Coturnix japonica: one gene and its partner. The protein of the gene in region 2 interacts with the protein of the main gene of each other region in a biochemical or structural test. Links are inferred from orthologs where the notes say so. Each region holds a gene or a part of one and is shown on either strand. Other genes may lie near its edges.

The links.
Region 1: the proteins of TAL1 (region 2) and LMO2 form a complex in vitro, tested with the Homo sapiens proteins (2 studies listed by BioGRID). The link is inferred for Coturnix japonica from reciprocal best matches to the Homo sapiens genes TAL1 and LMO2.

Annotation. Positions count from the first base shown.
Region 1 is NC_029520.1:6,398,283-6,402,446, forward strand, and holds the start of LMO2 (rhombotin-2), read left to right. Parts: upstream 1-1,364; 5' UTR 1,365-1,596; coding exon 1,597-1,603; intron 1,604-1,683; coding exon 1,684-1,861; intron 1,862-4,164. UniProt on the Homo sapiens protein: Acts with TAL1/SCL to regulate red blood cell development. Also acts with LDB1 to maintain erythroid precursors in an immature state.
Region 2 is NC_029523.1:19,453,964-19,457,935, forward strand, and holds the start of TAL1 (T-cell acute lymphocytic leukemia protein 1), read right to left. Parts: upstream 2,801-3,972; 5' UTR 2,658-2,800; coding exon 2,644-2,657; intron 1,406-2,643; exon of another isoform or gene 1,258-1,405; coding exon of another isoform or gene 1,256-1,257; intron 404-1,255; coding exon 1-403. UniProt on the Homo sapiens protein: Implicated in the genesis of hemopoietic malignancies. It may play an important role in hemopoietic differentiation. Serves as a positive regulator of erythroid differentiation.

The DNA of each region.
Region 1 (4,164 bases), on a different chromosome or scaffold from region 2:
CACACACACACACACACACACACACACACACCAACTATGTTTGAAGGTGGTTGTTTTTGACACACCTTTAAAGCCAGTAAAAGAAATGAAATGTTCATCGTTCTGTCCATGAAACCTGGCAAAGGAGCTGCACTGTGACAGGAACATTTGGTTGTGAGAACAGCTGCCATACTGTAACGGCTTAAAATACATTGGAGATAACTCTTTTAAAGAATAAGATGTATTCTAATGACCAGTGATGGCTCTAAAGCATTGCAAGAACTCAGTTCAAAGCCCTTGAAATGAATAACAACCCTTCTGCTGACGTTACTAATCTTTGGCTCAGGCTCATTAATGTATTTCAGATATTATAACCCCGGTGCCAAAAAGATGAAAAAATTAAAATGTACTCATAAAAATAGACATCAAATGTTTTTCTGTTCTGGGAATTAATATAGAAGCTAAATGCTTCTGCTAGCGCTTTACTGCTGATCTTTTCTTACTGTTTCTGAAGGAATTAGTGGGGCGAGTGGCTCATTTCAGCCAAGGCTCTGCCTCCAGCAGCCACCCTGATCTCATGCCACACAGACTGGGAAAATGCTATAACCACTGTAATAGTTTTCACTCTAGCCCTGTAAATCAGCTCTTTCCGGGACGTGCTGTGCTGATGGAGAGGAGGGGGAGGAAGGATGGGAGTGGAAATAGAGACATTCGGGCAAGAGTTGCCCACCTTTAGCTTTCGTGTGATTCATTATGGATCAATACTGTGCTCACGAGCTTTTATAGCTCATTAACACCAAACAGCATCAAGATATAAATTTGTTATAGTGCTTACCGAGAACTCGGGGGCATCTGGAAGCAGACACGAGTGACCAGTAACTCAGGGACACAGCGGGATACAAAGGAAGCACAGATTAGTTGACCGATTTGTGCTCTAGGTAGAAAACAGAGCTCGAGTTCTGACCCAGCTCCTGATCTCCAGGTGCCGGTCGAAACGTGCGTGGCGTGGGCATGTGCGTGTGTATTGCTGGGGAGGACGAGGAGAGGGAGCGTGACCCGCTGTGATCCCTTGTGGGACTGGGGTGCCGGCAGCTCGGAGCCGGCCGAGGTTTCCCTCAGCCCTTCGGATGCTTTCGGGTCGAGCACTTCTCCGGGAGCCCCGCGCAGCGGTGCGGTTCTGATCCGTGACGTCGCGATGTGAAAACGCAGCGTCAGCTCGCAGCTCCGGCTGCGGGGAGCCCGAGCTCTGTCCCTTTAAGAAACCGAGCGAGTCGTGATGCCGTTGTTTGTGTTGCTAAACCCCCAGGAGTCCAGTTAAGAAACGGGCAGCTGTCTCTTTAAGCGTGATTTCCTTCTATTGTATTTGAATCGTGATCAGGAAAAAGGAAATGAAACCGGAGAGCCGGGGCCGCGCCGCTCAGCACTAATAGCGATGCCGAGCTCCCCGGCCGCAGCACCCGCCCGGCTCCGCGGGGCGAGCTGAGAACCGCGGCCGGGCAGGCACCGGAGAGCGGCGGGCAGACAGCGGTGGCCGCGGTAGTCGCCCCCCGCCCGCCCGCAGAGCCGCAGCCGGGGGGGCGGCCCCGGCGCACGGAGCGCAGGAGGAGCGCGGCGAGGATGGGAGGTTAGAGCCCGCGGGCAGCCCCGCCGCCGGAGCCCGGCAGCCGCCCCAGCCCGCGTTTGTGTCTCTCTTTGGTGTTGCAGGAGGAAATCCTGTGAATGTCATTGGGGGGCGGAGGGGGAGCGCGGCCGGTGACAAGGCGTCGAGAGCAGACGGCCTTTGCGGGGGCAGCGGGGGCAGATCGCACCACAGGCACGCTACAAAGGAGCCATCCCTGCCAATGTCATCGGCCATCGAGAGGAAGAGCCTCGATCCTTCCGAGTAAGTGGCTCTTTTTCTCCCTGTCTCCCCACCCCTCCGTTCCTCGCGGTGCCACCGACGGCAGCCTGCCGGCCCCGCGCTCCCCTCCGCTGTCACGGGGACCCCTCTCCGGTGGGGGTCTCTGGGGCCGGAGCACGAGTGCTGGACAGCCCCATTGGGAGGCGGCTGCGGGCGCAGCTCCGGGCCGGGCGCCTCCAGCCGCCCCTGGGTTGCGGGACCCGCTGCGGGGCTCTCGCCCAAGCTGAAAGCGGTTGTCGTTTGGGGTCCCCGGACCTGCCCCGCGCTCTTAGCCGATTATACCGAAAGGTCGGAGCTGTTATCTGTGGGTGCCCGACTTCCACATTTGCACAACGCGAGGCGCTTTGTAACTTTCAAGGTCTTTGCTGGGGGAGGTGTTGCGCAAAAGGCGTGCAGAGGGACCCCACGGTGCAGGTGGTGAGAATTCCCTTCCCCGTTTTTCATGTTCGTGGAAGGGGCCGAGCCGCAGGTCCTGTCCTGCAGCCGGTTCTGTGCAGCCTTCCCGGACATTCACCGTCCTTGACTGGGGCGACTGTGCGTGAAACAGCGCTGCGTGCCTTCGTAGCTGCAGTTACACCCCTTTGGAATCGTGATAAGAGAGAAAGAAAGAAAATCTCCTGTTTCAGATAGCACTTAAAACATCGCTCTTAGTTAAGTTTGGTCGTCCGCGGTTTGTTCCCTGCGAGATATTCAAGTGCCGTCTCTTGTAGCTGTGAGTGTGCACAGGGGAACCATCCCCACTGTGGGTTAAATCAATTCCTGCTGTGTTGTGTTTGATGTTTTGCGTGCTACGTTTTTTCTTCTATCATCTTTGAGAAATCAGCATCTGAACTCCTGGGTGTCAGTGTCCCACTTTGCACTGCAGTGCTTTAGTAGAATTTATTTGCTTTCCTGCTCAGTGTCCTACTGACTTCTCTGGCATGCAAATATGTGGTGAAGTGATGAAGAAGAAAGAAATTCTGTTCCTCAGAAATGTGTGGGGCTGTTAGAGAGCTGCCTTGTGATTCCCAGAACCTGCGAGACCAAAATATTTTGGGGCTGCAATCTCAGGTTTTGCATAATGTCCAATAAGGGACACTAAGGTGTATTCCCTTGCAGCTGCACTCTCTGTTGGGTGGCATGCAGAGCCCAGTCTCTAGGAAAGGAACTCTGGGGCTCAACTGAGAAAGCTTGGAAGAAGCAGGGCCTGCTCCTTTCACAGCCCACACTGTCTGGAGTTTCAATGAGAGCTCACAGAGCCTGGGGAGCACCGCTGGGGCCCAGCAGCTTGAGCACTGGGAAAGCAGTGGGCTGAGCGTCTTGTCTCATCACATCCCAGGGCTCAGCTCATGAGAGCTACAAGGATCAGTTTCATAGCACAGAAGTTGTTGAGCAGTGGTCATTTCTCCACCTTGTTCTAAGTCATTTTTCCCTAGAAAACTGCTAACCCGCTAAAAACACTGTATGGGTCTCCTTGTGGCAGCAGTTATAGGATTTCTCCTGTTGCCTGCTGGAATCCCAGAGCAGCCCAGTTCTGCCTTCGGCATGTCTCTGTGCTGCCAAGGGCAGAGATATGGCACTGGTGGACTGAGAACCCCAAACAGTCTGAGGTTCTGCTCTGCCTCCTGTTGAGCACTTTGGTCATGGTCCAGTAAAGCAGATAAACCTAAAGGTGCAAACCTGTAATTTCCTTTCCACTAGCAGAGGGCTGAAATGATACAGGTGCTAAAGGACTGATCCCAAAGTCTTCTTACGAGCTTCACTGGAGTCTGGATGAGGGTCTGTGTCACTGCAGAACTGAGCTCACATGCCTTCCTTTTAGGTTTTGAGCATCGTATAAAATCCAGGCTTCATTCAAAGCAGCAGCAAAGCATAAACCAGCTTGGCAGCAGCCACATCTGTTGTAGTTATTTATTTAATGCTGCTCAGTGAAATAATATCCACAGAATTAGTCTTCAAATTTACATTCCCCAGAGGAAAGCTGGCTACATGTAGAATCCCTCAGGTACCTTTTCTAATCCAACAGTCCTCTGTGAGGCAGAATAGCCTTTGCTCCCAAGCAGAACTACAGTCAAAGCTCAAAGCTCCAAGTCTACACGATGGGCTTGTGTGCTTTGGGGTGCATGCATAACTGCTCTATGGGGCTCTTCAGTAAGTTAGAGGTAGATCAAGATGTCGTCTGAGTTCATACAGGCATTTATAGGTAAATCTTAAAAATACTGGGGGAAAAAATAAAAGGGGTTTATTTTGAATGGAAACTGAAGCCTGGCTATGTGTTGTGTCAAAACAGGATTACTGGAAAACAG
Region 2 (3,972 bases):
TTGCCCCAGGTTGTAGAGCATCGCCCTGCCGGGGGGCTGCAGCGGCAGCGCGGGGGGACTCAGCTGCACCATTCGGGCTTCGCAGGCGGCTTCGGCGGCGCGGCACGGCTCGGCTCCCGGCGCTCTCTGCATCGCCTCCCCCGCCGCCTCTCGGCTTTTTATGTCCAAGGAGCCCCCCCGGCGAACCAACTCGATGACGGGCACGGCGGCGGCGGGGGGCCCGGGGGAGGGTCGGCCCGCCTCTTTGGCCGCCCCGTTGAGCAGCAGCTGGGGCTCGGCCGGAGGCTCCATGCCCCCTCGGCTGCTGTCGGGCTCGCTCGTGGGCTCCGCTTCGGGGTCGTGGCGGCGGGCATCGCGGGGGTCACTGCTGGGGGGCGGCGGGGCGGGCGGCCTGTCCATCGTCCTGCGGGGAGAGCAGCGCTCGGGGCGGCCCGAACCCGACAGGGGGGTCCCCCCGCTTCTGCGGCGTGATGTCACGCAGCGGTGGCGTGACGTCACGGCAGAAACACCTCCAACCCCCTTCCCTTGTACCCCTGTACCAATGACCCTGGAACCCCCCCCATCCACACACACACACCGTACCCACAGGGGCAGGGAACTGGAAGGAGGCCGAGGGTTCTCCCCGCTCAATTTTGAGGACATTTCGGTCCATTAGGGGGGATTTTTTACTTTATTCGTATTAGAATAATTGTTATTAATTTTCAACATGGAAACCAAGCTCCAGGCGCTGCCCAATGGAGGGGAGAAACGCTCACACAAAGCCCCGCACCCCCATGAGCTCAGCAGGAAGGAGGAAGGGGCCCCGGCTCGGAGCAGCCGCGGCCGCGCACGGCAATTGTCTGCGGCCCCGCTCCCTTCTTTCTCCCCTATAACGAAACTATTGCGACAGAGCCGAGGGCGGGCAGCGCTATCGCGACTATTTCTCCTTTTCCCACCGCCCTCTTCGCTCTTTCTTTCTTTTTTCTTTTTTTCTTTTTTTTTTCCTCCCTATAAGTAACGGTGCAAATCTCATTCCCGACATCCCCGCTGCTTCGCTTTGGGTCAATAATTATCATTTCTGGGTTGATCCAACCCCAGAGAAAATTATTATTATTATTATTTCGATCACACCTCTCCATCTGTAATAATAATAATAACAGTCATCATAATATCAGCCGTTCAACCCAAAGCTTTACCGCCTGCCCCCGCCCTGCCAGCCCTCCAGAAAGAGCATCTAATTGCCTATTCCCATATTGTATAGGAAGAGATTACTCACATGTGTCATATTTAAGTAGGGACACCGCGAGTCTCTCCCGTTTCAACAAAAGCGCTCTCAGTGTCAGGCTGAATTTACTCCTCCCACCTCGAGGTACTTACGACTTTACAGAGAGGAAGGACACCCGCATCGGGATAAAACTGCTAAAGCCTGGGAGGAAGAGAAGGGGGGGAGAGAAAGGGAGAGAGAGGGTGGGTCTGGGGGACACGGGGATGGCACCGAGGGGACGGGGGCACCGCGCACAGCCCCGGCACACGGCCCGTAGTTATAAGGAGAGGGGAGAAGTGGTGTCTTTGGGGGGAAAAGGATGAGAAATTTAAGGGGAAAGCTGGTATATTTGGGGGGAAATATAATATATTTAGGGGAAACATTAATAAAGAAAATTTAAAAAAAAAAAAAAAAAAAAGAGGGAAAAAAAAACCACGCATATTTTGGGGCTGAATTAAGTGGGGTTTTGTTGGATGTCTCCTCGGGAAGGAGATTTAGGATGGGGTCGGGGTTGGTTTGTTCCGACGGGGCCGCTAATAGCGGCGGGGCCGCTGCCGGAGCCGCGGAGCTCAGCGCGGAGGACCGGGGCCGGTGTCCGCCCGTAGCGGCCCCGCTGCGATCAACAGGAAGGAGAGATCCGTGCCCCCCCACCCTCCCGCAGCAAAATGCCGAGCGGGGGCTTTGCTCTTCGTTAAACAACGGAATAAACCCGTCGGCTTCTCCTTTGGTGTTTTTCTATTTTCTTTCGTTAAAACGAAATAAACCCAAAAAACGCCCCAAATCCGCCGCTTTTTCGTTTCATTTAGAGGTAATTGTACGGAGAAAAATGGAGGGGGGGGGGGGGGGGGGGCATTACATCTCCGCCCGTTCTGTTCTGCGCTTCCAACTCCTTTTGTTTTGCGACCGTGGATGGGCAGAAAATTTCCACCCCGGCCACTCACTTTTCCCTGTGCCCTTGGTGGGGAGAATTACCCCCAAAACGGAGAGAGAAAGGGATGGGGAACGGGGTGGGGAGAAACCCCCATGTGCCGATCGGCGGTCGGTTCAGGCTGGGCCCCCCCCCCTGGCTGGACAGTGTGTATCTCCCCGCATCGCCCCTCATCTCCCCATAGAGCCCCGATAGTGGGAACTGCACCCAGAGTAGAAAGAGGGGGGTCGGTTAGCAAGGAAAGACAACCTCAGCCCCCCCCCCCAGCCCCCATAATCAAAGGAGAACAACAGAGAGAAAAAAAAAGCCCAACCGTGGAAAAGCCGCATTTGGCTTTTCTTCCCCCTTCCACCTGTCTTTAACAGGCTGCAGAAGACCCCTACGTGCCCCCCAAAATCCCCCCTCCCCACCCCCTCCATCGTGCCCCCCTCCAGCCCCATCCCGCTGCTGGGCCCGATCCCTCCCCACTCACCATTTGCTTTTCATTGGGAAAAGTGAGTGGAGCCATTTTGTGGCCTACGCATGGCGGCTATATTTGTAGTAATGTGGGGTGGCTTCAGCTGGGGAGGCTCTAATTCCACATCACGTCCAGTTTCCTATTTAGTATGGAGAGCGGAACACTACTGCAATGTGGCCGAGAGAGATAAAGCCCCAGCAGTGGCCCGCCTGCCCTGATAAGCTTCTAAACCCATTATTTATGAAATGATTCATTATTATTTGGCAATTTTATCGAAGGAAAGCGGAAAATTATTGCAGGGATATGCATAGGAATAACTCCGGAATGCCTTCTAGCTTTTTATGTGTGTGTGCTTAGATGCTCTTAAAAAGACACTGCAATAGGAAGGGGAAAAAAAAGAAGGAGTAATAAAATCTTGCACTGCTCTGCCCGAGTCTGTGAATGGCGATCCTTTATTTTAGTCCTCTCGGAGGTTATTATGGCCCTGGTTTTTTTTTTGTTGGGTGTTTTTTGGGTTGTTTTTTTTTTTCCTGCTTTTTATTTTTATTTATTTATTTTTTATTTTCTTTTTCTTTTTGATGGAAGACGTTCTCCGTTCTTAATTAAATTTAATGAGCCGAAAGAAATCGGTGGGGATGCTGAAAGAGAGGGAAGGGGTGTGGGTTGCTTTGGTCCCATCCGCAGCCTTCATCCCCCCCCGATGCAGTGCGGGTGTCCTTAATTAGGGTTCGGATTGGGGTGGCTGAGCGTCCCCACTGGAGCATGGGGAGGGATCGGGCACAGCTCGGCCTCGGGAAATTTGGGATGGGAGATGTGGGGTGAGCTCAGAGCCGGGCCCAGGGGGGAAGTGGAGAAAGGGGGATGGGGTTCGTGGGGGTGAGAAGATGGGAATGGGAACGGGGGAATGGGAACGGTGCCGGCCTTCCCCGTGCGGGCTTTGGGGTATGGGGGTGTGGATAAAGGGGCATGAGGGCACCTCCCCACGTTGCCCGGAGGATGAAGCGGGGAGAGATGGGGATGGCACAGGGTGCAATCCGTTATCTCTACGTCCATCGGTCCTAAAGACGGCGGCAAAGAGCGATATTCGATCCATCGGGGAACCCTAAAATCAACGAAATTACGAAAGAAATGGCACGGGGAGGCTGGGATCACGGCGGGACCTGCCTCGGGAAGGGCCTCGATCCCCGCTATGGGAGAGTGGATCTTCTCCGAGCCATTCCCTAGGGGGAAAAAGGGGTCGGACGGGTCGGGCGGAGCGGCCGCACCTGCCGGCGGGGATGAGCTGGGGGTGCGCGGGTCGCTATTGTGTCCCCGCCACCTGCACGCACACGGGGCTCGGGCTGG